Macaca fascicularis: one gene and its partner. The protein of the gene in region 1 interacts with the protein of each later gene in a pairwise test. Links are inferred from orthologs where the notes say so. Each region holds a gene or a part of one and is shown on either strand. Other genes may lie near its edges. The genes, in order: DRG1 and ZC3H15.

The links.
Region 2: the proteins of DRG1 (region 1) and ZC3H15 interact in binary tests that used the Homo sapiens proteins (3 or more experiments, as listed by UniProt). The two-hybrid records come from large-scale screens. The link is inferred for Macaca fascicularis from reciprocal best matches to the Homo sapiens genes DRG1 and ZC3H15.

The regions. Positions count from the first base shown.
Region 1 is NC_088384.1:20,204,894-20,208,716, forward strand, and holds part of DRG1 (developmentally-regulated GTP-binding protein 1), read right to left. Parts: coding exon 3,815-3,823; intron 616-3,814; coding exon 448-615; intron 180-447; coding exon 57-179; intron 1-56. UniProt on the Homo sapiens protein: Catalyzes the conversion of GTP to GDP through hydrolysis of the gamma-phosphate bond in GTP. Appears to have an intrinsic GTPase activity that is stimulated by ZC3H15/DFRP1 binding likely by increasing the affinity for the potassium ions.
Region 2 is NC_088386.1:82,082,901-82,086,654, forward strand, and holds the end of ZC3H15 (zinc finger CCCH domain-containing protein 15), read left to right. Parts: intron 1-408; coding exon 409-532; intron 533-2,225; coding exon 2,226-2,416; 3' UTR 2,417-3,045; downstream 3,046-3,754. UniProt on the Homo sapiens protein: Protects DRG1 from proteolytic degradation. Stimulates DRG1 GTPase activity likely by increasing the affinity for the potassium ions.

The DNA of each region.
Region 1 (3,823 bases):
TAGTGAAACTGGTAACTTATAGAAAAAAGGAGGGACCACATGCCCATGATACTTACTATTTAAATTCTTTGATAAGATTTTTGTGAATCTTCATGCAGAAATCCTCCACTGTGGTCCTGGAGTAAGGAAGTACCACTGGGGATGTGTAATCTGGTAATTGGCCTTTGGGTTTGGTGTAACTAGAATAGAGAGGGCATAAAGATTACCACCTTCTTAGAATATCTCATGTGTTGAATGTATAGCAACCCTCCATCACCCCTGACATAAGACCAGGACAACCTCCAACCTGAGGGAAAAAGTGTCCTCAATATGACCTAGTAGATAATAGGAACCAATTTACTTATATTTTCAAAAAGAGCCAGATTTTGTTAATGAGCTCCAGAAAGTCATCTTAGGACGGTCTGGTTTAATTCGTACAGCAACATTACCCTATCCACAAAGACTTACATTCTCACTAGTTTCAGATAGTCCCAGATCTTTTCCAATAGGTCATCAAAATTCCAGCGGTGATGGGCAGAGATGGGTACACAGTGAGGCACCTTATAGATGATATCCAATTCCTCAATGGAGATTTGGTCAATCTTATTTAACACATAGATACAGGGGATATAAACTCTACAGAAGTTGAAGAAAAACAGGTATTAGTCTGGAGTTGTTGACCAAACTGTCAGACTGTTGAACAGCACACCCTCACCCAGACCCAACTGGCGCTCTCAAGAGGAATCATAAGTAGCAGATCAGCCAGAAAAAGAAAAAAGAAAAAGTGAACTATGGGTTGAAAAGTAACAAAAGTCAGGCCCTAGTACCAGACATAAAGATAATTGCTGGGAAAACATACTGCAGTGGAAAGAACACAAGCTTTGAAGTGCTCAGACTGATTCTAATCCCAGCTGGCCCTCCATATATGCAGGTTTTGCATCCTTGAATTCAACCAACTGCAGATCAAAACCCACAGGCACGGAGGATCAGCTGTACTATATCATTTTATATAAGGGCCTTGAGCATCTGCAGGTTTCATTATCTGCAAGGGGTCCTGGAAGCAATCCTCTGTGGATATGAAGAGGTGATGTTATGTGTCCCTAGGAAAGTCACTTAACCTCTGAGTCAGTTTCCTACATGGCTGTTTTAAAACATAATTTATATTTAAAGACTAAAAAATGTTTTATTTATTGGTACAATAAATAATATTTATTGGTAAAAATGATATCACATCTACCAATGTCATATTTCTAGTGTCCAATGAATATGACAGCTAAGGTTACTAATAATTAGGCAAGCCACAACTTCTCACAGTTTAACTGCCTCACTTGTAAAATGCCTAACTGAAAACACTGGCTTCTGTTTGTTTTCAAACGAGGAGTAAATACGTTCATCCAACATACAGGAACAAATGACTAGGAGAACTAAAAATATTATATGCAAATGCTACAAGGAATTTTAACAGTGACTTAACTTATTCAAGTCTCAATAATATTAATGGGCTGGGCATAGTGTCTTATGCCTATAATCCCAACACGTTGGGAGGCCAAGGCAGGCAGATTGCTTGAGCCCAGGAGTTCAAGACCAGTCTTGGCAAGGTGAGGAAACAACATCTCTATAAAAAATACAAAAATTAGCTTGGCTTGGTGGTACACGGCCATAGTCCCAGCTACTCAGGAGTTTGAGGTGGGAGGATGGATTGAGCCCGGAGTTCAAGGCTGTGGTGAGCCGTGATCACACCACTGCACTACAGCCTGGGCGACAAGAGCGTGACCCTGTCTCAAAAAAAAAAAAAAAAGTAATGTATCATGAAATAGATACTCAGCTACATACTCTTAGGATGGAGAAAACAAACACAGCCTGGCCGGCTCAGACTTCTGTAGGACACAGCCTATAGAACTTCTCAGGTGGATTAATTCTGGAAGAGCAGACTCACCTACTACTCTCTTCAACTATCACATGACAAAGATTAGGGGGCAGCTTAGTTTACAGCAAGTAACTGAAATGGAGAATTTCATAGGAGGAGGCTGTAAAAGAAAAAAACTGAAATGGGGAATATGACCATCACAATTAAATTTAAAAGCAAGGAAGGATGTCAGAAATCAAAACGAATCCCTCAGTTTAGAGCTAAAGAAACCAAAGCCAGCAGGCATGGTGGCTCATGCCTGTAATTCCAGCACTTTGGGAGGCAGAGGCAGGCAGACTGCCTGAGGTTAGAGACCAGCCTGGCTAACATGGAGAAACCCCATCTCTACTAAAAATACAAAAATTAGCCAGGTGTGGTGGCGGACGCCTGTAGTCCCAGCTACTCGGGAGGATGAGGCAGTGGAAGTGCTTGAACCCTGGCGGCAGAGGTTGCAGTGAGCCAAGATCATGCCACTGCACTCCAGCCTGGGCGACCGAGCAAGACTCCAAAAAAAAAAAAACACAAAACCAGGGGGCGGGGGCCAGGCACAGCGGCTCATACTTGTAATCCCAGCACTTTGGGAAACTGAGGCAGGTAGATCACCTGAGGTCAGGAGTTCAAGAACAGCCTGGCCAACATGGTGAAACCCCATCTCTACTGAAAATACAAAAGATTAGCCAGACGTGGTGGCAGGCACCTGTAATCCGAGCTACTCAGGAGGCTGAGGCAAAAGAATCGCTTGAACCCAGGAGGTGGAGGTTGCAGTGAGCCAAGATCATGCCACTATACTCCAACCTGGGTAACAGAGTGAGACACTTGTCTCACAAAAAAAAAAAAAAAAAAACAAAGTCCACTATCATTTAAGATAGTAGCACAGGCTGGACGCAGTGGCTCATGTCTGTAATCCTAACATTTTGGTAGGCCAAGGCAGGCGGATCACTTGAGGTGAGGAGTTCAAGACCAGTCTGGCCAACATAATGAAACCCCATCTCTACTACAAATACAAAATTAGCTGTGCATGGTGGTGCACACCTGTAATCCCCGCTACTCGGGAGGCTGAGGCAGGAGAATCGCTTGAACCTGGGAGGTGGAGGTTACAATGAGCTGAGATCACACCATTGCACTCCAGCCTGGGTGACAGAGTGAGACTCCATCTCAAAAAAACAAACAAAAAAAAGGCCGGGCACAGTGGCTCACACCTGTAATTCCAGCACTTTGGGAGACCAAGGTGGGGTGGATCACCTGAGGTTGGGAGTTCAATACCAGCCTGACCAACATAGAGAAACCCCATCTCTACTAAAAACACAAAATTAGCCAGGCATGGTGGCACATGCCTGTAATCCCAGCTACTCAGAAAGGCTGAGGGAGGAGAATCGCTTGAATCCGGGAAGCAGAGGTTGCAGTGAGCTGAGATTGAGCCATTGCACTCCAGCCTGGGTAACAAGAGCAAAACTCCACCTCAAAAAAAAAAAAAGAAAGAAAGAAACCAAAGCCCACTATCATTTAAGATAGTAGCACAGGCTGAACACAGTGGCTCACGCCTATAATCCCAACATTTTGGGAGGCCGAGGCAGGCGGATCACTTGAGGTCAGGAGTTCAAGACCAGCCTGGCCAACATGATGAAACCCCACCTCTACTAAAAATACAAAAATTAGCTGGGCATGGTGGTACACACCTGTAATCCCAGCTACTCGGGAGGCTAAGGCAGGAGAATCTCTTGAATCTGGGAGGTGAAGGTTGCAGTGAGCTGAGATCATGCTGCTGCATTCCAGCCTGGGCAACAGAGTGAGACTCCATCTCAAAAAAAAAAAAAAAAATAGTAGGACAACTGGAATTAAGATAAACTTCTGCCAAATTCAAGATCCAATACTGTTTCCATCACAAGGCTTCCAATCCAGTCAGGCACAGACTGCACACTCAGTCAGTACCTGTTTCCT
Region 2 (3,754 bases), on another chromosome or scaffold:
TTTTTGTGTACCTACAAAATTCTGGCCTCTGGGTTGAAAGAAAAAAATCGTACTCTATATATAAAAATGTGATGGCAGAGGAAGAAGGTTCATATACCACCTTGCTATTCTTTTTAAAAGAAACTTAGGAAAAATAATTTTGACAATAGATCTTTTGTTTTTGTTTTTTATAGAGACGAGGTCTGGCTTTGTTGCCCAGGCTGGTCTCAAACTCCTAAGCCCAGGTGATCCTCCAGCTTGACCTCCCAAAGTGTTGGGATTACGGTTGTGAGCATCCACACCTGGCCAGTAATTGGTCTTTTTTTTTCACTTGGATCAGTGATAATTTTGGCTAATTAAGATAAATGTCAGGAGTAAAAGAAAACTGTTCTTATTTGTAACAACTTTCTTTTCTATATGTTGTTAAAGGTTGATGATTCAGTGAGTGTAAATGACATAGATTTAAGCCTGTACATCCCAAGAGATGTAGATGAAACAGGTATTACTGTAGCCAGTCTTGAAAGATTCAGCACATATACTTCAGATAAAGATGGTAAGTATGCTAACTTTTGCCTAATTTTAAGAACTAGGAAATTATCTATAGGGGGTTATACCAGACTTGGCAAACTTAGATGTGTGCAGGTACCAGACTGGTAACATAAATGTGTGGTTTGACCATATATAAAAAGAGTAATAAATAGTAAAAGGCCAGACATGAGCAGCTGGGTATATATTAAAATCATTAATGGAAACTAGAAGGAGACATAAATGAGCTTGGAGTTAAAGTCAGTAAGTTCACTTTGAGACCTCATGAGTTTGAGATTTTTTGATTATCAAAAGTGTACTGTCTGGGATATTGTATAGACATGAACACCCTGCAAAACATCAGTGTTTTGGGGTAGGTAAAAGAAGAAATACTAAGGAAAGACATTGAGAAGGTCAGAGAAAAATTAAGAAACAAGTTTCCAAAGAAGCAAGTAGGATGAAAAAGAATATAAATAAGTTATAGTTGTAATTGGTTATAGGAATAAGGTGCCAGTTTCATTGAGACTGCAGTGATAACAGTGAGAAGAAAAATGAATGCAGTCCTCTCTATCTTAATGTGTAGAGGGAAGACATGGTCATGGAAGGGCTTTTTAGGATATGGAAAACCTAAATGTATCTGTAGGTCAGAGGGAGAGGATCTGGTAAGGAGGAAAAGTTGCTAATAAAAGATCAGTTATAGAAGTAAGACATGAAAGTATAAATAATGAGTTAGGTATGAGAATGGAGGGAAGGCTATCTAGGATTGTTGGTATAATTTATGTCTAATTGTGCCTTGAGTTAGGTACTTAAAGAAAGGGGTAAAAGTTTGGGAGAAAATGGCAGAAGAAATGCCCATTAAGGCAAAAGCCGAGACAGACAGAAAAGTCTGAACTTTATTTTTACAATAAAAGCACACAAACTATAACTTGAAAAACCAGCTTGCCCTCCCAAGATCTGAGAGTGTTAGCAAACCACTGTCTTGCCTGTATTCAGATTGACTTGCTCTTTGTAGAAGTAGGGGCTTTGGTGACAGTAGACACAACTGTAAATAATTCAGAGATTATAAAATTCCCAAGACTTTGTCTTCAGAGATGTTTGAAATAGCTAAAATCTAAATTAGGCTGTTAAAAAATGTCTGTGTAAATGTTGATGGCATTGAATAAGAAAAGGCAGCATTTTTTTCCTCTCAGTTATTTATAATCTATAAGGAAAAGTAGCTGTGTATAGCACTATGTTTTTTCTTAACAATTTGATTACATGATGAAGATTTTCTGGTGTCACAATCACAGCATTACAACAGCGTGATTTAAATACTATTGCAAAACCAAAAGCCAAGTAACTGCTTATATTACAAACACTTTTTTTGTTTCTATAACCATTTATTCAAATAAAATATTGTATGGAAATTAACTATTTAAAATCGAATTGCTAGGTTATGTCGGGAACACAGAGGTGTAGAAGATTGACCCTGTCTTTAAATGTATAAACCATTAAGTAGTCAAATGTCTACAGTGAAAAACAGTATTTTATACTAGGTATAGATAATTGGCACAAATAAGCTCAGAAAAGAATGATCAGTTCTTGCTGGAGTAATTCTAGGGAAATGGCTTTCATGGAGAAAAGGAAAAGAGGAAGTGTAGTATGAGTCTGTGTTGTCTATTGCTAATGTAGAATGTTGTTTTCTGCTTCTATGCCTTACTGATTCCAGTTTTTATTTTTAGAAAACAAATTAAGTGAAGCTTCTGGAGGTAGGGCTGAAAATGGTGAAAGAAGTGACTTGGAAGAGGACAACGAAAGGGAGGGACCGGAAAATGGAGCCATTGATGCTGTTCCTGTTGATGAAAATCTTTTCACTGGAGAGGATTTGGATGAACTAGAAGAAGAATTAAATACACTTGATTTAGAAGAATGACATCAAACACGTCACTGAAAAAATTAAGTCAGCTCAGCATGAGTTGAAATTGACTACATTAATTTCTTTCCACCTAGAATCAACAGGATGTTTATTTCCTATGCTGATTCTGAAGGAGTTAACCTCCTGCGAAAAAGGAATATTGTCCCTACATCTTCTCTTCTGACTTTGGCTACATCTCATAGTAAGTTCAGAGTAGTTCATGATAAATTGAAAATATAATGGTCATTGCAGAAAATGATTGATTGTTGTAACTGTCCACCCAAGTAAGAAGTGTATCTGCTTTTCCATCTTTGGTTTTCATTTGGGCATGTGCTATTACCAGAAACAACAAACTTACATTTAAAATACCCTTCATTTGACACAGTTTTTAATGAGTGATTTCATTTCCTTTGTATTTGTATGTTTAGAAGACTGCCTAAAACATCAACACTGTACTTCATAAAGGAAACTGCATATGCAGATTCAGTATTGTATATCTTTGGACAATTAGATGGACATTTAAAATGGAACTTCTTATATCTGACAGGATCAGCTACAATGCCCTGTGTTAAATTGTTTAAAAGTTTTCCCTTTTCTTTTTTGCCAATAAAATTGTAAATAAAGACCATCATACATTAAAATCCAAATATGGGCCTTTTCTTAAGTTTTTCTATGAAAAATTTAACATTTCTAGCTTGAGGATTTAAAATACCTGTTAATAGTATCACATAAGGCATTGTTTCTTAATATTTACTACAGAAGCATCTAGAGTACTTGACAGTACTACGATGAGTTTAATAACACAAATACTAAGCTTCCAAAAAGACTATAGGTGATGTTACATGAAAGAGTAACTTCGGAATTGATACAACATCAACCTAATTAAATATCACCTGCAGTTGAATCAAGTACTGCTTAAGAATCGTTGTTGAGATCCATGGTGTTAAAATAGTACATACTAATGTAAGTATAAACAAATTCACCAGAAAACTTTGGGCTGAGGGTCTTTGGCACTAAGATCCCCTGAAAAATTAGGGTGATAATACATTTAAAATAGACACAATTTGCTCATGACATATTTAATACTGGCTACACCTTTTTTATTGTTGTGTATTTTCAAATAATATGCTGCTTTTGTTATTTGCGAATATAAATGGATTTTAAGACAACTAAGATAACAGCACTAAAATGTCAGGTGAGCTGGGCCCTAATCTCATTTCTGCCTTAGATAAATTATATGATTTTTAAATCTCTGAATCTTTGTTTCTTTATTTGCATATTAAAGTTAAGACTCAATGATCTGGCCAGGCATAGTGGCTCACTCCTGTAATCCCAGCACTTTGGGAGGCTAAGGCA